Oryctolagus cuniculus: one gene and its partners. The protein of the gene in region 4 interacts with the protein of the main gene of each other region in a pairwise test. Links are inferred from orthologs where the notes say so. Each region holds a gene or a part of one and is shown on either strand. Other genes may lie near its edges.

The links.
Region 1: the proteins of POM121 (region 4) and TRIP6 interact in binary tests that used the Homo sapiens proteins (3 or more experiments, as listed by UniProt). The two-hybrid records come from large-scale screens. The link is inferred for Oryctolagus cuniculus from reciprocal best matches to the Homo sapiens genes POM121 and TRIP6.
Region 2: the proteins of POM121 (region 4) and HOMER3 interact in binary tests that used the Homo sapiens proteins (3 or more experiments, as listed by UniProt). The two-hybrid records come from large-scale screens. The link is inferred for Oryctolagus cuniculus from reciprocal best matches to the Homo sapiens genes POM121 and HOMER3.
Region 3: the proteins of POM121 (region 4) and NFKBIA interact in binary tests that used the Homo sapiens proteins (3 or more experiments, as listed by UniProt). The two-hybrid records come from large-scale screens. The link is inferred for Oryctolagus cuniculus from reciprocal best matches to the Homo sapiens genes POM121 and NFKBIA.
Region 5: the proteins of POM121 (region 4) and FXR2 interact in binary tests that used the Homo sapiens proteins (3 or more experiments, as listed by UniProt). The two-hybrid records come from large-scale screens. The link is inferred for Oryctolagus cuniculus from reciprocal best matches to the Homo sapiens genes POM121 and FXR2.
Region 6: the proteins of POM121 (region 4) and AGR2 interact in binary tests that used the Homo sapiens proteins (3 or more experiments, as listed by UniProt). The two-hybrid records come from large-scale screens. The link is inferred for Oryctolagus cuniculus from reciprocal best matches to the Homo sapiens genes POM121 and AGR2.
Region 7: the proteins of POM121 (region 4) and CEP76 interact in binary tests that used the Homo sapiens proteins (3 or more experiments, as listed by UniProt). The two-hybrid records come from large-scale screens. The link is inferred for Oryctolagus cuniculus from reciprocal best matches to the Homo sapiens genes POM121 and CEP76.

What each region holds. Positions count from the first base shown.
Region 1 is NC_091450.1:43,009,056-43,013,090, reverse strand, and holds the start of TRIP6 (thyroid receptor-interacting protein 6), read right to left. Parts: upstream 2,801-4,035; 5' UTR 2,484-2,800; coding exon 2,375-2,483; intron 2,147-2,374; coding exon 2,019-2,146; intron 1,913-2,018; coding exon 1,787-1,912; intron 1,635-1,786; coding exon 1,251-1,634; intron 1,071-1,250; coding exon 977-1,070; intron 890-976; coding exon 720-889; intron 20-719; coding exon 1-19. Other genes in the region: SLC12A9 (solute carrier family 12 member 9), read right to left, coding at 3,283-4,035. UniProt on the Homo sapiens protein: Relays signals from the cell surface to the nucleus to weaken adherens junction and promote actin cytoskeleton reorganization and cell invasiveness. Involved in lysophosphatidic acid-induced cell adhesion and migration.
Region 2 is NC_091447.1:65,893,257-65,895,471, forward strand, and holds part of HOMER3 (homer protein homolog 3), read right to left. Parts: intron 968-2,215; coding exon 857-967; intron 623-856; coding exon 501-622; intron 81-500; coding exon 1-80. UniProt on the Homo sapiens protein: Postsynaptic density scaffolding protein. Binds and cross-links cytoplasmic regions of GRM1, GRM5, ITPR1, DNM3, RYR1, RYR2, SHANK1 and SHANK3.
Region 3 is NC_091443.1:40,158,302-40,162,509, reverse strand, and holds the start of NFKBIA (NF-kappa-B inhibitor alpha), read right to left. Parts: upstream 2,801-4,208; 5' UTR 2,594-2,800; coding exon 2,367-2,593; intron 1,782-2,366; coding exon 1,673-1,781; intron 1,345-1,672; coding exon 1,134-1,344; intron 881-1,133; coding exon 792-880; intron 674-791; coding exon 413-673; intron 297-412; exon of another isoform or gene 134-296; coding exon 86-133; 3' UTR 1-85. UniProt on the Homo sapiens protein: Inhibits the activity of dimeric NF-kappa-B/REL complexes by trapping REL (RELA/p65 and NFKB1/p50) dimers in the cytoplasm by masking their nuclear localization signals.
Region 4 is NC_091450.1:50,656,969-50,659,702, forward strand, and holds the end of POM121 (nuclear envelope pore membrane protein POM 121), read right to left. Parts: intron 2,310-2,734; coding exon 2,187-2,309; intron 2,069-2,186; coding exon 1,971-2,068; 3' UTR 501-1,970; downstream 1-500. Other genes in the region: NSUN5 (28S rRNA (cytosine-C(5))-methyltransferase), read left to right, coding at 91-231, 318-429. UniProt on the Homo sapiens protein: Essential component of the nuclear pore complex (NPC). The repeat-containing domain may be involved in anchoring components of the pore complex to the pore membrane. When overexpressed in cells induces the formation of cytoplasmic annulate lamellae (AL).
Region 5 is NC_091448.1:52,159,767-52,163,266, forward strand, and holds part of FXR2 (RNA-binding protein FXR2), read right to left. Parts: intron 1,936-3,500; coding exon 1,765-1,935; intron 1,592-1,764; coding exon 1,513-1,591; intron 573-1,512; coding exon 463-572; intron 238-462; coding exon 151-237; intron 1-150. UniProt on the Homo sapiens protein: mRNA-binding protein that acts as a regulator of mRNAs translation and/or stability, and which is required for adult hippocampal neurogenesis. Specifically binds to AU-rich elements (AREs) in the 3'-UTR of target mRNAs.
Region 6 is NC_091447.1:8,432,188-8,436,472, forward strand, and holds the start of AGR2 (anterior gradient protein 2 homolog), read right to left. Parts: upstream 2,801-4,285; 5' UTR 2,641-2,800; intron 1-2,640. UniProt on the Homo sapiens protein: Required for MUC2 post-transcriptional synthesis and secretion. May play a role in the production of mucus by intestinal cells. Proto-oncogene that may play a role in cell migration, cell differentiation and cell growth. Promotes cell adhesion.
Region 7 is NC_091441.1:69,537,029-69,540,528, forward strand, and holds part of CEP76 (centrosomal protein of 76 kDa), read right to left. Parts: intron 391-3,500; coding exon 173-390; intron 1-172. UniProt on the Homo sapiens protein: Centrosomal protein involved in regulation of centriole duplication. Required to limit centriole duplication to once per cell cycle by preventing centriole reduplication.

The DNA of each region.
Region 1 (4,035 bases), about 7.6 Mb from region 4:
AACATTTCTCCAGGGTGGCCTGTTGGAAGGACGGGGAGCCGGGAGCTAAACAACCCAACGGGCGCCCCCACAGCCCGCCTGGCTGTTTCTACAGCGCCCTGCGTGTGAGTGAGAGGTGGACCTGCGTAGATCCGAGTCTGGCTTCGGCTTTTCTGAGCGTCAGTGTCCTGTAAACCGGGCACCGGTAGTAAAACTCCTGCCTGGCTGGGGTTGGAATTTAACCCTGTTCCCTTAGGAGGCCACCTGGGACGCCCACAACCCGGATCAGAGTGACTGGGGTGGAGTCCTGGCTCCACTGCCCGCCAGCATCCTGCCCGTGGCCATGCTGGGAGGCAGCAGATGATGGCTCAAGGACTTGGGTCCCTTCCACCCACGGGAGAGACCTGGATTGAGTTCCAGGCTCCTGGCTTTGGTGCAGCCCAGCCCCAACTGTCACAGGCAACTGGAGAGTGAACCAGCAGATGAAGCTGGGCTCTCTCTCCGCCTTACAAATCAATTAATAATAATAATGGTGATGATAGATAAAATGTCTCCTACTCCTACAGGACGGTGCTCCTTCCTTCCCACAATGCCTCTCTTCTTGTCCATCAGTCTGAGTGCCCCAGCTTCGAGCCCTGTTCCTTTGCTGGGCTCAGACATCCGGCCCCCACCTTGCAGGAAGGCCCCTGCCTGCCGCTGCCAGTGCCCAGACCCCAGTGTCCCCAGCCCCAGGGGCTCACCACGTAGCAGCTCTCACAGTACGCCCTCCTCTCCACGGCATAGAAATGCTGGCCCCGGAGCTGCGCCCGGCACGTGGAACACACAAAGCAGCCCACGTGGAAGACACGGTCCAGGGCCACGACCCCGGCGCCATCCCCGACCACGTCTTCTCCACAGCCGCCACATCGGCCTGGGGACAGGAAAGGACGGGGTCACCCCGCACAGACCCTGGCCAGACGCGCCACCCTCCCGTCCCCTGCCCGCGGCACCCGCTCACCAAAGTACTCCCCGCTGGGCGGGTGGTTCAGGTCCTGCACTAGCTTCTTGGTCAGTCTCTCCAGCTCCTCCTCCGGAGGCTGGCTCAGGGGGACCTGGGGGCGGGAATCAGGGGTTCCCACCCAGGGGGTCCAACCCAGGAGGCTCCTCCCCTGAGAGCTTCTCGGACCCCTCCCCTCTGCAATTCCCCAGCTGCTCCACGCCCCAGGCCTGCGGCTCTGCTCCCACCCACCCATCATCTAGGAAGGTCCTGAACTCCAGGACCCCTGGCTCACCTGCGGCCCGTGCCCGCCTCCTCTGGGTCCTCCTGCAGAGCCAGACACCCCGACAGTCTCCTCTTTCCCCCCCGGCCCAGGCCCACGGTGGCTCCGATAGCCACCCCCCCAGATGTCCCCTCGGCCTGGAAGAGGAAAGTGGGGGCCGGGAAGGGGTCCAGAGGCCTGCGAGGCTCCCCGCCGGGGCGGGCCGCAGCCTCTCACTGGTTGTGCCACCTTCACTTGCACCGGGAAGGCCGGGCCGGCTGGGGTGCTGGCGGTAGCGTAGGAGGCCGGTGTGGGGCCCCCATAGGGGGATGCTGGTGGCGGAGGGGCTGGGGCACCCCCTCCGTTGGGCTTCAGGCAGCCTGCGCGGTAAGCAGGGGGCTGAGGGGCCTCGTAAGCCTAGGGAGAAACACGGGGAGCAGTGAGCAAAGCCCACCCAGGTCTCCCCGCCAGTGGCTGATGAACACAGAGGGGAGCTGGGGGCCCTGGGGAGGGGGGGACTGGCACTGAAGACCCACAGAGGGCAGCAGGCCAGGCGTGGGGGCAGTCACCTGCCGCTCCGGCCTGCGGGGAGCGTGTCCACGGCCCCCATCCAGCTCGGCCAGCATGCTGGTCAGCGAGTCCATCTCAGCATCCAGACTGCCGGGGCGCAGGCCCCCCCTGTCTGGGGGGAGCCCCTGGGGAAGGAGCCAAAGCAGGGAGGAGGCAAGTCACCACGGCGCCCCTCCAGCCAGCCCCCCACCCTGCTCACAACATCGCACCTCCTCCCACTGCCGTCCTCACCTGGGAGCGCTGGGGTGCTCCGTGGGACCCCACCCAGGCTGGCCCCCGGTCATCGCGTCCCCCGGGGGGCTGGTAACACTGCTCAGATGGGAGGGGGCAAAAATTGACCCTGGGGTGGGGCTGGAGTGCTGGGGTGGGGGGAAGAGAGACCAGAGGTGGGGACCAGGGAGGAGAGAAGGGGGCTCCCTCCTGGACGCTGCCCTCCCGGCCCCTCCGCTCCTCCTCAGGGGGCCGTAGGCGGCCACAGGCGGCTGGCCCCCGGCTGGCAGGGGAAGGGGTAGCAGGGAGCAGGCTGGGAGCGGGCAGAGGTGAGTCTGGGCAGCCGGTGGCTCGCGGGCGCAGAAGGGGCTGCTTACCTGTTCCGTGGGTGGGTGGCAGCCCAGGGGCACCTCGAGGGAGTGCTCTCCCCTGAGGGGCTCTGGTGGGCTCCGACTGCTTTGGGGGGAGCCAGGTGGGCCCCGACATGGTCTGGAACGGGGTGAGGAGACCCCAGACAGCAGGCAGGGCCTCTCGGAGCCCAGGGCCTCTGACTTCGGCCCCCTCTTCCGTCCTACACCTCGTTTGGGACTCCAGGAAAGAAACTTTTTCTGGCTTTTTTTTTTCCCCTTCCTCCCTAATTTTGGGGACGGCCACGCCCCCTGTGACGTCACCGCATTCCTGGGGGAGGGTCACGTGGCCCCCTAGGCCCTAATCTGCGGTCCCTCCCCCAGTCGGCCCCCTCCTGCCGAGAGGGGAGGGCTCTCGCTGGGAGCCGAGTCACGGGGGTCTGCGGGCGGCTCGGGGTGGGAGGCGCAGGCCCGGGCCGGCCCGCCCGAGCCTGCACGTGGCAGCCTCGCTGCGGCCCTGGAAGCTCCCGGTCTCCACCCCTGCTACCACCCGACCTCTTCCCACCACCTCCCTCTCACCTACCCGCCAGCAGTGTCAGGCCAGCCCGTAGTGTTTTGGTCTTTTATTCACGGTCAGCAGTTAGAAAAATAAAACACAGGGAACGTCCCCACCCCAGGCTGAGGTAGCCTAGGGTCGCAGAGGAGACCAGCCCCTCCCGTCAAGGCACCAGTGGAGGAGAGGCGGGCAGGCGGGCGGGCGGGGGTACCCGTGCCCTGGGTCCCCTCCCATAGGAGGCGGGTCAGCCCGAGCCCAGGACACCTAGCATCTGCACCTGGGGGTCGGGGCGGGGGGGGCTCCAGGTCCCAAGGGCAGGGCCGGAGGGAGGTGGCCCCTCCCTCTTCATCGTCCAGGAATCCGGATGAGCTGGGGCCTGGCCTCAGAGGTCAGTGCAGGTGACAGGGGTGAGGCCGTGGACGAGCAACGTGGGGCCCAAGTCGCGGCTCAGGGTCTCCAGCAGCGCCAGGTAGCGGGGGTAGCGGGTGGGGTCGGCAGGCGGCCTTGGCAGGTACAGGAAGGTGAGGGCCGTGGTGGGCCCCTCCTGGCCATCCCTGGCCTCAGGGCCCCCGGGGCCCCCGCCTGTGCCGCGCCCCTGCTGGGCCCGCACCAGGGCGTTGGCGCTGCTCGCCAGGGCCTCGGCCTCCGCCTCTCCCCGCCCGCCGTTGACGAAGTCCCCTTCTTCCTCTTCCTCTTGCTCCCGGGGCCCGGCGCCCTCGCCCCACACCACCTCGCGCACCTCGGCCCGGATCCGCAGTTGGCTCAGCAGGGCCCGGAGCCGCCCCTCGGCCGCCCCGGGCGCCTCGCCCGGCCCCAAGCACAGGAAGATGCGGAGCCGCGCGCTGTGCCAGGCGGGCACCATGCCCAGGATGGTTGCCATCTGCAGCAGGAAGAGGCCACAGACGTCCACGTAGCCGGGCCCACCCCGGGGCCGCAGCAGGTTGAGGGGCCACACGTCCACGTGGTGGGGCGCCGAGGGGCCCCGGGAGCCGCCGCTCAGCCGCTCCGGGGGCAGCGCCCCGCAGGCCCGGGCCAGAACCACGTTCTTGTTCATTTTGAGGGCGTCCGCCATGGTGGCCACGTAGTCCTGGGGGCTGAGCGCACGGGGGCTCCCGGGAGCCCGTGGCGGAGGGAA
Region 2 (2,215 bases), on a different chromosome or scaffold from region 4:
CTCGCAGGGCGCCGGCCAGCTTGTTGTTGCTGTCCTGCAGCGCGAAGAACTCGGCCTCCCACTGCACCTCGCCCACCGAGCTGCGGAGACGCCAGGGTCGGCAGGGGGCGGGGCGGGGCGGGGCCGAGGGCGGGCGAGCGGGAGCGCGCGCGGGCTAATGGGCGTGGCCTGGGTGGGGGCGGGCGCGCTGCAGTACGGAGCGAGCTGGGGGCGTGGCCTGGTTAGGGGGCGGTACTGTGGGCGGGGCCTGCTGGGGCGGGCACGCCGTAGTGAGCTGGCTAAGGGCGGGCGCGCGGCACTACAGCGCTGTGGAGGGGCGGGGCCTGGTTTGGGGGCGGGCACTGGTGGGCGTAGCCAGGGTAGGGCGCGAGGCGGTGTCGCTGGGTTCCCTGAGTCTGGGGGCGGCGTGGGAGGGGCAGGGCCAGCGATCCCCTCCAAGGTGAGGGGCGGGGCCGGCCCCGCCTGCCAGGCGCCGCCCCCTCCTCCCCGCCGCCCCTCACCCCTCGGACAGCATCTTCTTGAGCCGCTCCCGCTCGGTGGGGCCGGGGGCGTCGGCGCTCTGGCTGCGGAACAGCTTCTCCTCGCCGGGGCCATTGGCGCTGACCAGCGGGCTGGGAGGCACCTGCGGGTGGGCGGCGGCGTCCATCAGGGACGTGTCCAAGCGGGTGTCACCGGGCAGGCCCTCCCCTCCCTTCCTCGACTGATTTCCGTGGCTCCCTGGGCCCCCCACCCTGCCGGCTTCCCCTTTCACCCGACCCTGCAGGTGCAGACCCCAGCTGGGCACCGGGGCTGGTGACCACGCCCCCCACAGCTCTGGGTTGTGTTCGAGCCCAGTGCGGTCGGGTGCCCGGCTGACCTGGTGGGAGACCAGACCCAGCGCCGGGCTCGTGAGCTCGGTCCCGCCGTCCTGGGACTTCTCCCGAGCCAGCCTGGCCGCTTCCTTCACTTCCTGGAACTTCTCAGCAAACTGGAGGGAGGAGGGGAGGGGCAGGCGTCAGCGGGACCCCCAGCGCCCCCCTCCACAGCACATCACCCCCACCCCCACGGCTCTGCCGCTGTGGGAGGGGGCTGCGCACCCCCTGAGCCCACAAACAGGAAGCAGGGGGGGCAGGCTTGGAGAATGATGTCCCCACGAGCAGAGTGGGCGGGTGGGGAGTTCACGGAGGTGGCATTAATACCCCCAGCCACGGTGGGAGCGCTGGGAAGGGGGGAGAGAGAGAGAGAGGGGTCTTCCATCCACTGGTTCGCTCCCCAAATGCCCACCACAGCCACGGCTGCACCAGGACCCCCACGTGGGGCCCAAGTCCTTGGGCCATCGTCCACTGCCTTCCCAGGCCACAGCAGAGAGCTGGATCGGAAGTGGAGCGGCCGGGACTCGAACCTGCGACCATGGGGGATGCCGGCGCCGCGGGCAGGGGCCCCCGCCCTTCATAACAGAGAGTGGGGGTCTGGGGGTGCAGCGGGCGGGGGGGTGCTCCGAGCCGCATCTGCACTCAGTAAGAAGGCAGCTGTCCGGTTCTTGTTTTCCGGTACTAAGAATCCACACTGAACTCCAACCTAATGCAAGCAATACCTGTGTTCCAGGAAGGGTAGGCTGCGTAAAAAATCCTTAGTAGAAAAATAATTTTTAAGAGAAAATAGTAACAAGCACACAGCCAGGTGTTTGTGCAAAAAAACCCCGGGACCATGAACAGCCCCCTGGGGAGTAATGATCTTTAGCACAAGCAGCCCCCAAACCGTGGACCGCTCTTGGGGGAGGGGCAGATGACCTTTGACCCCTGTGTGACTCCCAGAAATCAAAGACCTGCGTCTGGTGGCGGGCCAGGCTCTGGGAGGAAGCCGGGGACCCCATCTTCCCGGCCGGAGCAGGGCGCGGACAGGACGGACAGGACGGACGGAGGCCACCGCGTGGGACCCCTGCGCCCCTCCCCCCACGTCAGAGCGCTGGGTCCCAGCCAGCTCCCGGCGCATGCGCCTGGGAGAGCAGAGGAGGATGGCCCAAGTGCTGCGGCCCCTGCACCTGCGCGAGAGACCCGGATGGAGCTCCTGGCTCCTGGCTTTAGCCTGGCCCGGCTCTGTCGGGCTGCCGCAGCCGTGTGGGAGAGAACCAGCGGATGGAAGACTCTCTCCGTGTCCCTTGGCTGGTGCACGGAGACAGCCCGAGGGTCCCGCACAGCAACCATGAGCATCAGTCCCCAAAGAGAAGCAGGGAGAG
Region 3 (4,208 bases), on a different chromosome or scaffold from region 4:
CTTTTTCCTTTTTTTTTTTTTAGAAAAATAAAACTCTCTTTTTGTACAAATATACAAGTCCACGTGCTTTCCAGGCGCCTGGTGCTCACAAGGTCAGGCGCTGGCCTCCGAACACGCAGTCATCATAGGGCAGCTGGAAGAAGAAGAGGAGAGTAAACCTCCAAGGCCCAGCCCGGGGCTGCAGGCCGCAGGCCAGGGCCCTGGCTGCGACTGCAGCTCCGATCCCCCCACCCGCCGTGCAATGAACTTGACAGGCTGAGTGCATTTCCCTTGAAGGATTTGCTGCTTAAAGAAGGGTAAGCTACTTTTATTTTTATTGGGGGGGGGGGGTTCTATACAGTCGGAGAGCTCTATCCAATATCCCAGGGCTGCTCAAGGGAAGGGGCCTGGCAGGGTAGGGGATGGGGCTCACCTCGTCCTCCGTGCCGTCCGACTCCGTGTCACAGCTCTCCTCGTCCTCACTCTCGGGCAACCTCTGGAGGTTCTCCAAGGTCAGCTGGCCCAGCTGCTGCTGGATCCGGGTGCTGGGGCGGCCCCATGTGAGTTGGTACGGGGAGTAGCCCTGGTAGGTGACCCGGTTGACATCGGCCCCGCACTTCAACAAGAGCGACACCAGGTCCGGATTCTGCAGGTCCACGGCGAGGTGGAGGGCCGTGCGCCCATTGCAGGGTTCCTAGAGCCAAGAGGAGTGTGAGATGCTTAGGAGGCGTCTGGCATTCCTGCGTGCAGCCAGTGTGGCTGACATGTTGCTGGCAAAGAGCAGCACTCCACCTGGCTCGTGAGGCACTCACCTGGGCGTTGACATCAGCACCCCAGGACACCAACAGCTCCACAATGCCCAGGTAGCCGTGGATGGAAGCCAGGTGCAGACACGTGTGGCCTAGACGGACAGAAGGAAGAGAGCATCACCACCTGTTTCACCGTCCCCCTAGTCACTCATGGGACAAGCACATGTGGCCCCTGAATTCTAAGGAGCCCGAATCTGGGTTCTGAATGAACATTCCAGCAGCCTGAGACAGGCGCTTGATACTCATTTCCTCCTGCTTTCACAAGCTGGGAGTTTAAGCTCTGCCCTGCACGCCTTAGGCCAGCCCGCCTCCCCCGCGCCGCCCGCCTGGGACAGCACAGCGTACCGTTGTAGTTGATGGCCTGCAGAATGGAGTGCAGGTGCTGGGCCGTGCAGGTCTGCTTGAGGACGCCCACGCTGGCCAGGCAGCCCTGCTCGCAGGCAAGGTGCAGCGGAGTGTTTCCTCGAAAGTCCCGCAGCTCAGGATCACAGCCAGCTTCCAGCAGTGCCTCAGCAATTTCTGGCTGGCTAGTGATGACAGCCAAGTGGAGCGGCGTCTACGAGTGGGAGAGCGAGCACAGATAAGCCTCGGCGCAAAGTCGTCCTCCGAGTGCCCCTGAGCCGCAGACATCTCCCGGGGGTGGGTGCTGCTCCTCCCAGACAGGGACAGGGGGCCAAAGACCAGGGCCCCGGGTGGGTCGCAAAGACCTCACCCAATCCGTGGGCTTTTAACTCTGCAGGAGACCGGCTTATTGGAATGTGAAAGGCCAGGGCAGGTAAGGACCTGTGGCTGTTCTTTCAGAGAGCTAGGGGTGGGGAGGACTGTGCCACATCGACTGCATCCCGAGGTCACAGAGGGCACAGGGCTGGGGACGACAGGCGCACCTGCTGCAGGTTGTTCTGGAAGTTGAGGAAGGCCAGGTCTCCCTTCACCTGGCGAATCACTTCCATGGTCAATGCCTTCTCTTCATGGATGATGGCCAAGTGGAGGAACCTGCAGGCCAGAGAGGGGAAAACCCCCCGCAAGGGGCGGTGAGCGCACTGCGTGGGGCCCCGGGGAGGCGCGGCCTGCGGGGGATTGCGCAAGGCCGGGGTTTCTGGAGCCGGGGCCGCGGTGTTTTCCGCGGGGTTATTATGAGCTGAGTGTTCCTGGCAGGCGCCCAGGGACTTTCCGGGCCCCGCCCCCCCCGCGGCGGCGCCGGCCAGGCCGCCCCGCCCTCCCGGCGGCCCGGAACGCCCTGTACTTCCCCCGCCGGCCGCGCGGCGCCCGCCCGCCCGCCCGCCTTATGCAACCCGGGACTCGGCGTCCCTGCCGCCGCGCCGCCCCCCGCCGCGAGCGCCGGGCTGCGGGGTTCGGGGTGTGCGGGGACGGGGCCGTCCACGCCCTTCCCCGCCGGCCCGAGGAGCCCCCAGAGGAGCCCCGGCCCGCGCGCGGCCGCCCCGCAGCTTTGCGGCAGACTCGGCGGCGCTGCACGGCCATCCCCCCCCTCCAGCCCGGCTGTGCTGCAGCCCCGGGGCCCGCGCTGCAGGCCCGGCCGCCCCCCGCCCGGCCCGCGGCCCTCAGCCCCCCGACACTTACGAGTCTCCGTCCTCCGTGAGCTGCTGCCTCCAGGGCTCGGCGGCGCGCGGCGCCTCCTGCGGCTCCAGGCGGATCTCGCGCAGCTCCTTCACCATCTGCTCGTACTCCTCGTCCTTCATGGAGTCCAGGCCGCTGTCGTGGCGGTCGTCCAGCAGGCGCTCCTTCTTCAGCGCGTCCCGGGGCCCCTCCATGGCCCAGTCCTGAGCGTGCTCGGCCGGCTGAAACATGGCGCTGCTCCCCAGGTGCTCGGCCGCGGGCTGCGCGCTGGCGTCCTCGTCCTGTCGCCGGCTCCTGGCGGGCGGCGCGCTGCGACTGTTGTGGGCTCGGCAGCGCCGCCGCGCCGCCCTATAAACGCTGGCGGGGAATTTCTCTGGGGGCGGGGTCAGGCGCGGGGAATTTCCAAGCCAGTCAGACCAGAAAAGAGAACTGGCTTGGTCCTCTGCTAGGGGAAAAAAAAAGGCAGCCTAAACTCCGAGCCGGGGTTCATCGGAGAAACTCCCTGGGATGACCCACCGGGGTCATGTCCAGGGAACTTCTCGCTGCGCGCTGAGTGGCTGGAAAGTCCTCCGGGCCCGGCGGCCGCCGCCGCCCCGGTGCTTCCCTGCGGACCGCGCGCGGCCAGGCCGACCCTGCAGGGCCCTCCTCTCTCCCTGGGGTTTCCCACGGCCGATTGCACTCGGGGTCGTCTGCTGCAGGGATCCCGAGGACACAGACCTGCCGGGCCGTTCCTCTTTGGGGTTTGCCGCCCAGCCGGTCCTTTCCGTTTTCTCGGATCTTGCGGAAGCGCAAGAGTGGAAACGGTGGCTGGCCGTGGGGGTTTGTCTTCCCCAGAGTTGGGTGCAGTTCGCGGGCGGCCCCTGGGTTCCCGCAGATTCCCGGCCCTGTAGGGTGCAAGCGCTCCTGGCGTCCCGACCCCCTCGGGGAGAAGCTGGGTTTTAAACCAAGTCCCGTCCTGGGGACTAACAGGCCTGTCGGCTGGGGGAGGGACAGATCTCGCCCTGCGAGGGGTCAGCGCTCAGTGGGGCCTCAAGGGTTTGCTTTTTGTTAAGCAAGGAGTTCGTCTTGGTGGGAGGGGTTGCAGGTAACCTTGCAGTAACGAAGTTCATGGTCTGTGCTGCAGGAAATGGATCCTGAGCCTATTTCTGAGTGCCCAGCTGAGCAATTTTTCAGCATTGGGAGGAGCCTGACCAATGGGTGGCAGTTAGTGTCTTACCCAGGATTGGGCCTGAAAGATGGCCAAGAGTAACTGCCAGGCCCCCCGCGGGAGGTTCCAGGCGGCTCCCCCGTGTGCTCTGGGAGAGGGCAGTAGCTGGAGCCATTCCTGCAGTGCCACTCTTGAGAGAATCCCCTGGCTTTAGAGAGGTTATGCTCCGGCCCCCGAAGCGGCAGACTGGGCTGAATTCAACTACTTCTGGAATTGGTGCAGGTAATCAAATCGGCTTTGATCGGCTTTGAGCATGAGCTCCAGGGGCCTCTGCAGAGGTTTCTGGAGGTTGTGGCAATCACCTTCGCCTTACTGATCAGGTACAAAGCAACCCTTGCCTCTCCTCGGATCTCCACCTGTTCCCCCCATATGGAACATAGGGGATAGGGTCACTAGGACAAAATATGAGGGCAAAAAAGTAAAATCAAGAAATAAACCCCTCAGTAGTAATGGTCACATGTTAGAGTGAGAACTTCCCAGTAGAGACTGCAGTGTCTGCAGGCTTAGGAACCGCACACACGGGTTTATCAAGGCAAGGTCGCACAGTGATGCAGGCAGGAGGCCTCGGTTCCAGGGTCAAAGTCACTGCGCACTGGCTGCACAAGTCAGTAAATATTTTTTGTAGTGTACTTGTTTTA
Region 4 (2,734 bases):
CCCCGGCCTGCGCCCCCTCCCTCCGGGCCCTTGCCCCGCCCCGGCCTGCGCCACCCCCCCCGCCCGGGCCTGAGCCGCTGCTCTCCGCAGGCTCGCTCCTGTGCTCCCTGCCTGGCCCCACCGAGGCCTCGGCACTTTCCCAGGTGCTGAACACTGCCTCCGGGCCTCCCCCGAGACCACCCTCACCGGCGGCTTCTTCGTTGCTGTCTTCGAAAGGGTGCAAGTACCCAGGTGAGGGCGTGGGTAGGGGATGGGGCCTGCCGGGAGGATGCTGGATGGGGTGGGGGGCACACGTAACTTGGGGCCGTTTCTTCTAGCTCAGCCTCCCAGGCCACAGCGTCGCCCCCGGAACCACTCAGCCCAGGCCCCAAGAGGAAGAAGAGACGGCGGAAAGCGGCAGGTGACCCCTGCGCCGCACCGGGGCCGTAGCAGCGGCTGTGCTGTCCCCCAGCGGCTGGACCCGGTGGCTGTCCCCGGGAAAGAAAAGGCAGGACAGGGCCTGAGATCGATCACAGTTTTTTATTCTTAATGACATAAGCAAGGAGAAAAATCTCACATTCATACTAAAAATTCCAACTAGACTCAACAGGAATTACATCCGTGTGTCCGTAACGGGAAGCCCCTGCCGGCGCACGCCATCCACTCACCCTCTCACTCACTCGGGCCCTGCAGGGGCCCCTGGCCGCTGGCCTGCCTGTGCAGGTGCAGCTGAGGTAAAGTGGCCGGGCGCGACACCTGCAGGCGGGGTGGGGGGGGGGTCACGCCTACATCACATTGTTCCTAAAACAGCCCCAGGAGCGGCCCGGGCCACGCACAGGCAGAACTCACTACGCTACTCCTAGTCAGCATTTACACTTAACCACCTCAGTGAACCAAGCTTGAAGGAATTTAAAAGGCAATTTAGCTTAAATACAAAAATAAATTTTTATTTTGTTAAAAAATGTTTAAATATTTTTTTAATTTAGACACACGCATTCACACTTCTCCCAAAGAGGCTGGGCTGGCAGCAAGGCGCCTGGGCCTGGGGGAGGGGCGGTGTTGGGGCACCTGTGTGGGAAGAGCGGCCAGGTCACCTTGGGTCGTGGGCCATCACGTCAGGTCTCCTGACGCGGACGGGGGTGCCTGCCTCCATGGAGGGCTCTGCTTCCCCCGGCCCATCCTCGTGGGCTGCCAGCCCTTAGAGTGAGAACACCACTGGAGAATTCAGGAGTCAGCACGCGTGGCCGTGAAGCGGTGTTACCGCCACGTTCAATTAGCGAGGCCCCAGGACAGTCGGGAAACAAGTCCGGCACTACCAACATGCCGCCACTCATACGATTTGATTCTTCCTCCAAACTCGGTTCAAAGAGCGATAGACACGCGCATCGGACTAGTGACACAGGACAAGGCTTAGAACGTACAATCCCCGAGAGGCAGACACAGCCCGGAGGTGGGCGCGGCGTCTCCCCCCCGATCTGCCAGGCTAACAGTCTTCAGCCGCCGAGCTCTTAGGGGGAGACGAAAACACTGAGTGACCTGGCAGGAGGGGACGGGGCAGCGGGAGCGGCACCCTCTGGGGGCTCCAAGGCAAAGCTAGATTCAAGGTCATTCAAGAGGGAAAATCCTGCGAGGAACAGAGCAGCGAGAAACAGGGAGAGAGGGTCCCCTCGGGGGCCCGCGGGGGAGCCACTTCCTCCAGCCCAGCCAGGCAAGGTCAAGCTTCAGGCAGCCCGCTCCCAGTCCCGTCCAGTGTGCACGGGGCTCCCGGGGGAGGCGGGAGGCAGGGGCTCACCAGGGCGACTGTTCAAGTCAAGGGCCAGCCCCCGCCGCTGCCCCTCCCTGCTGGCGGCCGAGGCCGGAGGTCTGGGAGAAGTTTACTCAATCAACTCCAAGGGTCAGAGGCTCTTCCTGGCAGGCAGAGTCCGGGCCTGGGTGCCGGGTGGGACGGGGGTGGGGTGGGGGGGAGGTGGGAGACAGGCAGGAGACCGAGGCTACTTCTTGCGAGTGTGCTGCCTTCGGGCCTGCAGTCGCTGTCGGGCCCCTGGGGTTTTAGATCCCGCACCAATGGAGAAGGAAGGGGCCGCCGACCCTGGAAAGAGTCAATGACATATCAGGATGGCCGGTGCCCGGGTTCCTCACCTCCAGCGCGCAGGCAGGGGTGGGGCGCCCATCGCGAGAGCCTGGAAGCCAAGCCCACTGCTGCTTACCGAAAGCTCCCACGCCGACGAAGCCCTGGGTGGGCGTGGAGGACGCCCCGAAGGACAGGCTGCTGCCCGACGCGCCCACTCCGGGGGCAGAGGCGTTCTGACCAAAGGTGGGCGTGGAGGTGCCTAGAAGCAGATGGCAGAGCACTGTGGAGCCGCGGGGGCAGCGGGCACCGCCCCGGCTTCCTCAGAGTTCTGTGCAGCTGCAGAGTGGGGTCGGTCCCTGTCCCCTCGGCTGCCACCGCACAGCACAGCACTCAGCAGGTCCCAGCTTCCACCAGGACTAATCCTCGTTAGCATCCCCACAAAACCCACCGCTGTGGCCCACGGCTGTCCTCACGGTACCTGCCCTCTCCAAGGCAGGCCAGGCTTTCTGGTGCTCACGACTCAGGGCCCAAGGTGTGTGTGGGGGCGTCTGCCTGCTCCCCAATGCTGTTTCCACCCCCCCCATCCTCATCAGCTCCGTGTCCTTGCCGGTTCACCTGGTAACCGCCACGCGGTTCCCTGTCCTCATCTGTCACCAGTGTTGATGGCCTTACTGTGTGGTCTCT
Region 5 (3,500 bases), on a different chromosome or scaffold from region 4:
TGTGACCCGTCCCACAGCCCCACATTTCCACCTCCCATTCCCACTCTACAGAGGAACGAGCCGCACGCCACAGCTGCGGACTTTATCTGGCAGCAGTCTTGGCCCCTGCTCTGCCCAGCCCTTCCCTCCCCAGGTTTCAGACTCGTGTACCTGCAGGTAGGAGAGGTGATACTCCAGCAGGGCCTGGGCATTGCTGATATTTTCTCGAGTGCCAACAAATATGAAGGGAACCATCCCCTGAGAGCAGAGGGAAGGAAAGCTGATCAGGAAGAATAGTAGAACGCCACGTGCTAGCCCCATCCAGTCGCCAGGGGAACCCACCCAATGGCATCAGTCTAGCTCTAAAGTTACTAGAGCGGCTACAGAATTTCTGTGCATCCTCCCTGCCCCCAAAGTCTTAGCCCTCAGAGAACAAGCCCACCTACTTGTGGAAACCAACCTCTAGTCCTAGTTGGCCCATACCTCCTCCCTGGGGTTCTTCTTGTCATTGTCACCTTCCACTCGCACCCTCACCACACCAGACTTATCCACGATCTCCTGGATCACTTTCCCATTCTTTCCGATCACTTTGCCTAAATGGGTAAAGGAGGAATTAGGCCTTTTTTTTTTTTTTAAAGGTAAGGTCAAAACAGCCTCCCAGCCTCATCCTTCTCTCTCTGTACAGATTGCATTTCGTTAATTCTCCTGCTTCTAAGTTGTTGGTTAGGTTTTACAGAAAGGACGGATGTCTGACCCAACAGTAAACTGCTGCTGGGATGCCCATGTTCCCTACTGGGGCTCCTAGTTCGAGTCCCAGCTACTCAGTTTCCAATCCAGGTCCCTGCTAGTGCACACCCTGGGAGGCAGCAGATGATGGCTCATGCATACTTGGGTCCCTGCCTGCCACCCATGAGGGAGACCCCAGATGGAGTTCTGGGCTCCAGGCTTCGGCCTGACCTTGCCCTAGCTGTTACAGACATTTGGAGAGTGAACTAGTGGATGGAAAATGTAATGCCTTTTGGGGCCGGTGCCATGGCTCACTAGGCTAATCCTCCACCTGCGGTACTGGCATCCCATATGATCGCTGGGTTCTAGTCTTGGTTGCCCCTCTTCCAGTCCAGCTCTCTGCTGTGGCCCAGGAAGGCAGTGGAGGATGGCCCAAGTCCTTGGGCCCTGCACCCGCATGGGAGACCAGGAGGAAGCACCTGGCTCCTAGCTTCAGATCGGCGCAGCGCTGGCCATAGCGGCCATTTGGGGAGTGAACCAACAGAAGGAAGACCTTTCTGTCTATATCTCTAATTGTCAAATTAAAACAAAAAGAAAAAATGTAATTACCTTTCTACTAAAATGAAAGTAAAAAATTTTATCCCTAGAAATTTATTCTTCCTTTTTTTTTTTTTTTTATTCCGACTACAGACTTTCTGTCCTTGTGAAATCAAGAGTTACCAATACCCACTACAAGCCCAGAGTCATTTAAGGAGACTCACAACTGGCCCCTAACTACTCTCTTTTATACACACACACCCAACTCACCAACCAGGTTCCTGGGCACTTGCACTGAATCTTCAGAAAACTCCAGGTAGCTCCGAGCCTGTCGGCATGCCTCTGGCGTCTAGGGGAAGAATGAAGTGGCGTCACTAAAACAGGACCTGGATCTCAAATAACGATCTTCCTGTCTTTGGGAAGATATGCTGCCAAGTTCAGCAAAGTCACATAGCTTAGGCTTATTTCCCACTCCCTTCCCTCTACCCACTACAGGATCTTGAAGACAGATCTTTTGCTGACCTCCCCATAGATGCGGAAAGTGCAGGTTTCTTCACCCAACTCAATGGCGGTCACTCCAGGTACTTTTCGGGCCTGCTGGATATTGGCCCCATGAGTCCCAATTGCCAGTCCCATCAGGTCCTCTCGCACTGTAAACTCTTCCTGGAATGCTGCTGCCAGCTGCTTGCTTGTCTGAAAGGAAAACCACTCGAACAATCATGGTGGTGGAATCGCAGAACACCTATGCCAGGTAGTAGACTCTGCGTAACAGAGAAGCATGCTGGGGGCTAGCAGTGTGGCACAGTGAATTAAGCCACCACTTGTGATGCTGGCATCTCCTATCAGAGTGCCAGTTTGAGTCCAGGCTGCTCTGCTTCTGATCCAGCTTCCTGCTAACGCACCAGGGAGACAAGTACCCAAGTACCCCTGCCACCAACGAGGGAGACCTGGATGGAATCCTGGCTTTGGCTGGCCTACCACCAGCCATGACAGCCATCTGGGAAGTGAATCAGCATATGGAAGCACACTCTCCTCCCCCCACCACTTTCTGTCACTCTGCCTTTCAAATAAATAAATCGATCTTTTAAAAAAAAAAAAAAAAAAAAAAACCGGCCGGCGCCGTGGCTCACTAGGCTAATCCTCCGCCTAGCGGCGCCGGCACACCGGGTTCTAGTCCTGGTTGGGGCACCGGATTCTGTCCCGGTTGCCCCTCTTCCAGGCCAGCTCTCTGCTGTGGCCCGGGAGTGCAGTGGAGGATGGCCCAGGTGCTTGGGCCCTGCACCCCATGGGAGACCAGGATAAGTACCTGGCTCCTGCCATCGGATCAGCGCAGCGCGCCGGCCGCGGCGGCCATTGGAGGGTGAACCAACGGCAAAGGGAGGACCTTTCTCTCTGTCTCTCTCACTGTCCACTCTGCCTGTCAAAAAAAATAATAAATAAATAAAAATAAATAAATAAATTAAAAAAAAAAAAAAAACAAAACCACACTGGAGTCAGCTGACCGGTAGGAACTATGCAGAAAATTCAGGAACTTTCAAATAGCAATGGCTTGAGGGGAGAAGAACCACCAAAGTTCTGGATTTGGCTCTAACACCATGTGGTTGTGTGATCCTAGAGAAAACACACACCCTGTGCCTCTGACCTGTCACCTGCTAAGTGGCTACATCTGACCTATACCACTTTCAACACCAGCAAGATCTGACGAAGTTCATGTGATCTGCAAAGTGTAAATAACTAACCTTAACTAAATGAATACCAACTTCTCCCAACAAGTTGATTAGAAAGCAAGAGACTGAGAAAAGAAAAAAATGAGCCTATGGAACACCACATTTCTCAACCAGGGCTCCTAAACTCAAGGGCAGGAAGACAGGAAAATTTCAAATACTCTGCTAATTCTAAGATGAAATACTCCCAAATCAAGAATTTACACTAGACAAGATGGCAAAGCTGAAGAAAAAAGGGAACAAACTGGACGATCAAGCATCACTGAGTTCGGGAAAGATCTACACAGACTTTTGTTTTCTACAGAAGTCTGCACATGTCTATCTTTTATATAGGCAATATTTTGAAATAATTTTTAGAAAATGCAATAGCAAAAAAAGACCGATGAGACCACTACTATGGCGTAGTAGGCTAGGCCTCTACCTATGGTACCGGCATCCCATATGGACCCCAGTTCGTGTCCCAGCTGCTACACTTCTGATCCAACTCTCTGCTGTGGCCTGGGAAAGCAGTGGAAGACAGCCCGAGTTCTTGGG
Region 6 (4,285 bases), on a different chromosome or scaffold from region 4:
CTATCCACCTATTAACCAACCTATCTACCTCCTCATCTACCAACTACCTATCTACCTACCTATGTATCTATCTGCCTACCCACCCATCTATCAATAGATATAGATCCACATAGCTCTAGATACAAAGATGTAGATCTCTGAATGGATATATAGTTACCCAGAAATAGATAAGTTAGATATATTAGATATAAGAAAATAGGTAATTAGCTATATATACTCTTACAGCTAAAGAAATTTCCATGTAAATGTCACAAATTACAGCACAGGAAGGTACTTGTGGGGTTACCTCCTCCTTTTCCACCTCCCCAGTGCCTCATGGTATAAGATGAAGAATCTGAAGTTCAGAGAGATGAGAAGGTTTAGGAGATGGATCTAGAACAAAGGCTTCTGGGTCTTCCCTCCATGAAATAATTACCCTTACTACGCATACTTCCTTAACCTCCTGTTAACATGGAGACATTGCCACTGAAGAACGCACTATGAATAAAATGATGCCTTATTTCACTTAGAACCTGCCAGCCTTGTCACTTGCCCTACCACTTGCATGAACACAATTGTCTCCCAAGTGTAGCATTTGTTCAAACTCCATCTTAGCTTTGAATTGACTACAATGCCGCTTCCTTCAAGTGAAGCAGTTCTTGGACTTTCCTTGAGGGCCTTTACTGGCAGGTGATGTGGCATGCCCTTTAAGGCACACAAATATCCTATGAGATTCATAATGTAGTGAAGTAGACCCCATGGATGTCTCTCTGTTACATTCTTCCTTCCTTCCTGGTGTTCCACAGCTACTGCTTGGGAGAAGCTGGGGTAGACGCCTATGAATGGACGGTGAATGGTCAGATGAGTTCCCCGAGTGAGTGAAGAGGCAGGGAGGCAAGCAAAGTGAGTCTCTTGAGCAAGATGCTAAGGTTGGCTAGAGGCCATAACATGGGAAGCTGGAGCTTTGCATTTCTCAGAAAGCCAGACACTAAAATTGCTTAAAAGTCAATACAAAATTATCGCATCTAGCGCTAATATTGGTGTAGGTTTAGAGAGAAGTCAACAAACTCTGCAGAGGAAGTAGGATGAGCTGTCATTGCTCTGTGTTTTTAAGAGAGAGTGCGTCTCATGATCTGTTGGCTTGAATGGAAAACTTTGCTTAGCATTAGCAAAATTGAAAGGCGTTTCCAAGTTATGAACCCCAGTTATTCTTCACGCCACAGTATGTAGCCACAAAACACCTTAATCAGAAAAGACATAAGCAAAGAGCAGAGATAGAATTTCTGAATGTTCTAAGCCTATAGGGATGCGGAAATGTCAGTAATAATTTTTGTCTTCTAGAATTCAGTTCTACAGAAGCAACTCAAGTGTACTGCTCTCTTAGTGTGAAGGCTTATTTTTGATGTTAAAAATAATCAAGAACTTTTATGTGAGGCTAATTAGATGTTTGAACCAACTAAGTATATCATGACAAATAACTACTTTGAATTTATCCACAAACATTGGGTTTTGTATATTAAGATGACATCTATGTGTATTTTAAAAACTGACACTAAATGGCTGATGAGGTGTTTTATTAGTCCACTGTCAAGTCTTGTTGTACAAGTGGCTATTAGGACCCCTCGTAATAGCTCCATAGGTTAGAGGTTGGAGCTATTGATGTATTACATGCATTTTATGATAGGATGACTCAGAAAGACTAATGGAACTTCTGCTGTACAAACATCCTGCTCTGGATGACTTTCTGAGATTCACTCTTTTCCTAGCGTGAACAGACTCTGGTCTACCAATTTCCTGGATAAACCACTTTAAAACCCAAGGCTAACCATGGAAGAGATGGATAATTTGGAGACACACACACACACAGTGAAACCAGCAGTTTTACTGATCACTATAGCCTCACCTTATCTTTCACAAGAGAGACATTTGCAGGAGTTTTCAATGCCTGTGTTCCTGTTAGGAAAGCAACCCTGACTCTCTCCTCTGACAGTCTATTCCGTGTATTTAAAGATTGAAGAAGCAACTACTGTATCTTTAAAACAGACACAGAGAGGAAGTAGTTACTTATGGCAGTAATATGCTAGGGTACTTCTCAATGTTTATGAAAAATGGAATTAAAAAATTGGTTTATGTTGCTGCAGAAAGTTTTTTAAATCCATGCATATGAGGAGATCTTAAGAAAGTTCATGAAAATGCATATTACGGAAAAGCTATATGTGGATTTCAACTTGTTGTGCACCAAAAGAAATTTATCTCTGAATTCCATTTTGCACCAGTGTTTCGCAGTCCCCTTGTGTTGCCACTGGGGCATCCTACCTGAGGTTCCTTTGCATCAGCCAGTGCGAGAGAAGCAGAGTTGTAGATTGTAACCAAGATAGAAATCTCCGGTCCTTAACCCAGGCTTGAGAATCCCTAGCATTCACCCACTCTTTCAACTTTTGTTTCCTACAGAGGAAACTCAGGAGTGCAACACTCTGCCAGTTCTACCAAAGACAGGCCCCAGGAAGCCTCTGGAAATCGCACGATCCCCTCTCCAAATCCCACTTCACCACCCTCGGACACTTGCACTTCTCTGTTGACTGCACGCAACTTTACAGAGCAATAGGAGCCCAAAGCTCCCTCTAGCAGGTGCCCTTCCCGAGCTGTTGTCAGAATCCTTACCTGGATTTCCCCTCCCACCTGCCTTGTGCGAGACGCTCAGGACGCAGTCCAAGCTTCTGCCTGTGCCAGCAGCGCAAGCCTCTATTTATGCATCTGCGCACACCTCTCTCCCACCCACTAATCCTGTGTTTGCACGGGACTAACTCGGAAATGGACCTTCCTTTGTCCGAACCATGGTCTTCTCTGAGTAAAAGAGCTCCCTGCTTGAAAAAATATCGTTGCAAAAAGAGTCCTTTTTTACTATGCATGTTTTAACTGTTTGTGAAAGTATATTGCTAAGAGGCTTGAGAAGGGTGGGCAGAGTGCCAAAGCCAGGTAAGCTTAGTGGAAGACCTTTGATTTGCCTGAAGGCTGATTTGTCTTTACGTGATTGGATGGGGTGTGTAGTTTGTAGATTTTTTTTTTTTTTACATTCCCCTTGGGCATATTGCCCTTATTTAGCAGAAAACATCCCTGAAATGATTCACAATCCCAACCCTTGTAATCCTAGAACCTGTGATCTTCTATTATGTTACAAATTATTTTCATGATGGCCTTCTCATTTCTTGGCAAAAAGTAAAGGTACATTAACCACAGGTCTGTAAAAAAATATAAATCAAGTGCTTGTATAATATTTCAAAGCTAAGGAAGTAATTGACAAGAGGCAACTTAACAGTATGAGCTTGGTGTACTTGCCTTGCCATTGGGTACAATAGCAACTCCCCTCGAAGGTGTTCTTTCTCATTTCTTCAGTGGCAGGTGCTCCTGCTAGGTCTACGTGAAGCCATTTACCCCATTTTTCAGACCTAGAAACTGAGGCCTATGACTTTTTTTTTTTCACTTGAGATTGTTTGGTTACTTGAGGATTTTAAGACTAGAACTTAACTTAAAAGTTTAGGATGGAGATGTTCTTTTTATTTCTTACTCAGCAGTGAGATAGACACAGAGGGATATCTTCCATCTGTTGGTTCACTTCCACAACAGCCCAGTCTGGGCCAGGTGGGAGATAGGAGATAGAACTCAATCAAAGTCTCCCTCATGGGTGCCAGGGGCCTGAGTACTTGTGCCAAGACCTGCTGCCTCCAAGCAGAAAGCTGGAGTCAGGAGCCGGAGCCAGGACTTGAACTCAGGAGCTCTGATATGGAAAGTGGGTGTCTCAAGTGATTGCTTAAGCAGACACCTGCCCTTCCCAGTGTTGAACACAAAAGTAACTAAAAGATGCAAGCCTCATCACATGCCTTTGTAAAATAGTTCACATCATAATATCTCAAAACATTTTCAAGTATGTACACGATTTCAATAGAGCTTTGAGTTCTGTGGGCAAAATAATGATTCTCAAAATACTGACTTGTGGTTCTAAATCCATAGAGAGAATTTCTTTAGGTGTTTGAAAACAATTATTTGAGTTAAAGGCTTAAAACTGGAAATGCTGTTTGGTGGATCCTTGGTCTCTTCAGGTGTTAGAATATTCGATTCAACCCCTTCGTCATGCAGATGAAGAGAATGAGGCACATACCAAATGCTTTTTTGAAGGTCCCAGCGTGGGGCAGGGCCGGCACCAAATCCCAGGTGTCTTGTGGTCAACCAGATGCAGATAGTGGAAAGTAGATCTTGTTTGGAGCTGCAAAATCATGGTCTGTGTCCTGCTTTCTGTTCACTGGAGGAT
Region 7 (3,500 bases), on a different chromosome or scaffold from region 4:
TAGGAAAATTGGCCCAAACTAAGTAGATACTTTCCAGAACTCATGGATCAAATCTGCACAAGAAAGCTAAGTCATTTTAACAGCTCCCCCATGTGATTCTGATGTCATTCCTAAGTAAACATCTAGGATGCCTATAGCGAGAACATTTATCAATCCATAAATAATATCTTACCGAAGACATGTGGCAAATGCACGCCTAGCATTCCTGTACACAAAATGTATTGGGAACCCTTTAAATGTGTGACCATCAGGTACAGCCCTCCTTATGGCATCTTGAAATTCTTCATTGCCTGCAGATATACTTGTTGTACGCTCAAATTCATAAGAAGCCAAAGCTGGTGATAAAAGATAGGAAAGCTGGTCTTCCCAAACAGTGGTAAGGCCAAGATCCTACAGCAATCAAGAGAAAAAGAAAATGGGAAATATATTAATATTTTCAAAAACAAATCAAAATGTAAATTATATTTTAGCATATGCCAAGAAACGATTTTTGGAAGTTGTCATAATTTTTAAAAATATTTATTTATTTACTTGAGAGGCAGAGTTACAGAGAGAGGGAGAGACAGAGAGGGAGGTCTTCCATCCACTGGTTCACTTCCTAAATGGCAGCAATGGCCAGAGCTTTGCCAATCCAAAGTCAGGAGCTTCTTCCAGGTTTCCCACATGGGTGCAGGGCCCCAAGCACTTGGGCCATCTTCTATTGCTTTCCCAGGCTATATATAGCAGAGAGCTGGATTGGAAGAGTAGCCAAGACTCAAATTGGCGTCCTTATGGGATGCTGGCATCGCAGGCAGAGGTTTAGCCACAGCGCCCACCCCAAGTTGTTATAATTATTTTAAAGATTTATTTACTTATTTGAAAGGCAGAGTTACAGAGAGATAAAGAGGCAGAGGTAGAGAGAGAGAGAGGTCTTCCATCTGCTGGTTCACTCCCCAGATGGTCAAAATGGCTGGAGCTGAGCCGATCTGAAGCCAGGAGCCAGGAGCTTCTTTTGGGTATCCCACACGGGTGCAAGGGTCCAAGGACTTGGGCCATCTTCTATTGCTTTCCCAGGCCATAGCAGAGAGCTGGATCGGAAGAGGAGCAGCTAGGACTAGAACCAATATTGCAGGTGGTGGCTTTACCTGCTACACCACAGCACTTGTCCCTCATAATTTTTAAACTATTAATTATGATAGGGATGCACAGAAATAAAAGTAAAGGGAACTATAAATTTCCAGATTTCACTTCTCAGAAACATAATCAAAAAACATTCAATATAGTGATGTGACATGAAAGGTTCATTTCCTGTATAGTATGGAGGCAGCCATTGTGGCACCATAGGTTAAGCTGCTACTTGGTACGCCAGCATCCCATATCTGAGTGTCTGGTTCTGAGTCTTTGCAACTGTGCACTTCTGATTCAGCTGCATGCTAATGAACCCTGGGAGGCAGCAATGAAGGATTAAGTACTTGGGTTCCTGCCACCCACAGGGGAGACTTAACCTCCAGCTGTGGAAGGCAGCTGGGGTATAAACCAGCATATGGAAAATCTCTCTCACTATCTCACTCTCTTCTCTCTCTGCCACTGTCTTTCCAATAAACAAATCAATCTAAAAAAAAAAAAAAAAAAAAAAAAACCCACATGAAAGACAGTGTCAGTGAATTTTTAGATCACTTTTTTTTTAATTTTCAAGAGTTAGTAAAATTGAATCTGCTTAATTTGCTCCTACCATAAACTGAACTATAGGAGAGAAAAGTCAAATTAACTGCACATATAATTAAACTCAAATATTTATTGAGCATTTACTCTGTAAGACAATGGCAGGGCCAATGCTGGGGCGTAGTGGGCTAAGCCTCAACCTGCAGTGCTGGCATCCCATAAGGATGCCAGTTCGAGCCCCAGCTGTTCCTCTTCCGATCCAGCTCTCTGCTAGGGCCTGGGAAAGCAGTGGAAGATGGCCCAAGTGCTTGGGCCCCTGCACCCACGTGGGAGACCTGAAAGAACCTCCTAGTTCTTGGTTTCAGATTGGCTCAGCTATGGCCGTTGTGGCCATTTGGGGAGTGAACCAGCAGATGGAAGACTTCTCTCTCTCTCTCTGTAACTCACTCTCTCTCAAATAAATAATAAAGTGATCACTGTTAAATATAAGAGTGGAAATAAGAGAGGGAAGAGATGTGCAATTCGGGACATGCTCAAGCTGACTTACCCCAAACAGTAGAGTTGGAAACATACCAGGGGATTCCAATTCAATCCCATCAAGGTGGCATGTACCAATGCCATCTCACTAGTCCCAGTGATCAATTTCTGTTCACAACTGATCATAATGATAGGACTAAGAGCCAAAGGGATCACATAAACAAGACTAGTGTCTGCAAATACTAGCTGATAGAATAAAAAAGGGAGAGAACGATCCAACATGGGAAGCGAGATACACAACAGACCCATAGAATGGCAGATGTCCTAAACAGCACTCTGGCCTCAGAATCAGCCCTTAAGGCATGTGGATCTGGCTGAAAAGCCCATGAGACTATTTCAGGCACGGAAAGCCAAGACACTCTGGCAAAAAAAAAAAAAAAAAAAAAATCTCCATGAGTGAGATCCCAGTGGAAAGAACAGGTCATCAAAGAAGGAGGTACCTTTCTCTGAAGGGAGGAGAGAACTTCCACTTTGACTATGACCTTGTCTAAATATGAACAGAATCGGTGAACTCAAAAGGCTTCCATAGCCTTGGCAACTCATGACAAGAGCCTAGGGTGATTACTGATGCCATAAACAAGAGTGTCAATTTGTTAAGTCAACATCAAGAGTCACTCTGCACTTACTCCTCATGTAGGATCTCTGTCCTTAATGTGCTGTACATTGTGATTTAATGCTATAGCTAGTACTCAAACAGTATTTTTCACTTTGTGTTTCTATGTGGGTGCAAACTGTTGAAATCTTTACTTAATATATGCTAAACTGGGCCGGCGCCGCGGCTCACTAGGCTAATCCTCTGCCTAGCGGCGCCGGCACACCGGGTTCTAGTCCCGGTTGGGGCGCCGGATTCTGTCCCGGTTGCCCCTCTTCCAGGCCAGCTCTCTGCTGTGGCCCGGGAGTGCAGTGGAGGATGGCCCAAGTGCTTGGGCCCTGCACCCCATGGGAGACCAGGAAAAGCACCTGGCTCCTGGCTCCTGCCACCGGATCAGCGCGGTGCGCTGGCTGCAGCGCGCCGGCCGCGACGGCCATTGGAGGGTAAACCAACGGCAAAGGAAAACCTTTCTCTCTCTCTCTCTCTCTCACTGTCCACTCTGCCTGTCAAAAAAAAAAAAAAAAAAAAAAAGCTAAACTGATCTTCTGTACATAAAGAGAATTGAAAATGAATCTTGATGTGAATGGAAGTGGAGAGGAAGAGGGAAAGGAGAGGGTTGCAGGTGGGAGGGAAGTTATGGGAGGGGGAGCCACTGTAATCCATAAGATGTACTTTGGAAATTTATATTCATTAAATAAAAGTTAAAAAAAAAAGAGTACAACTCAAAATG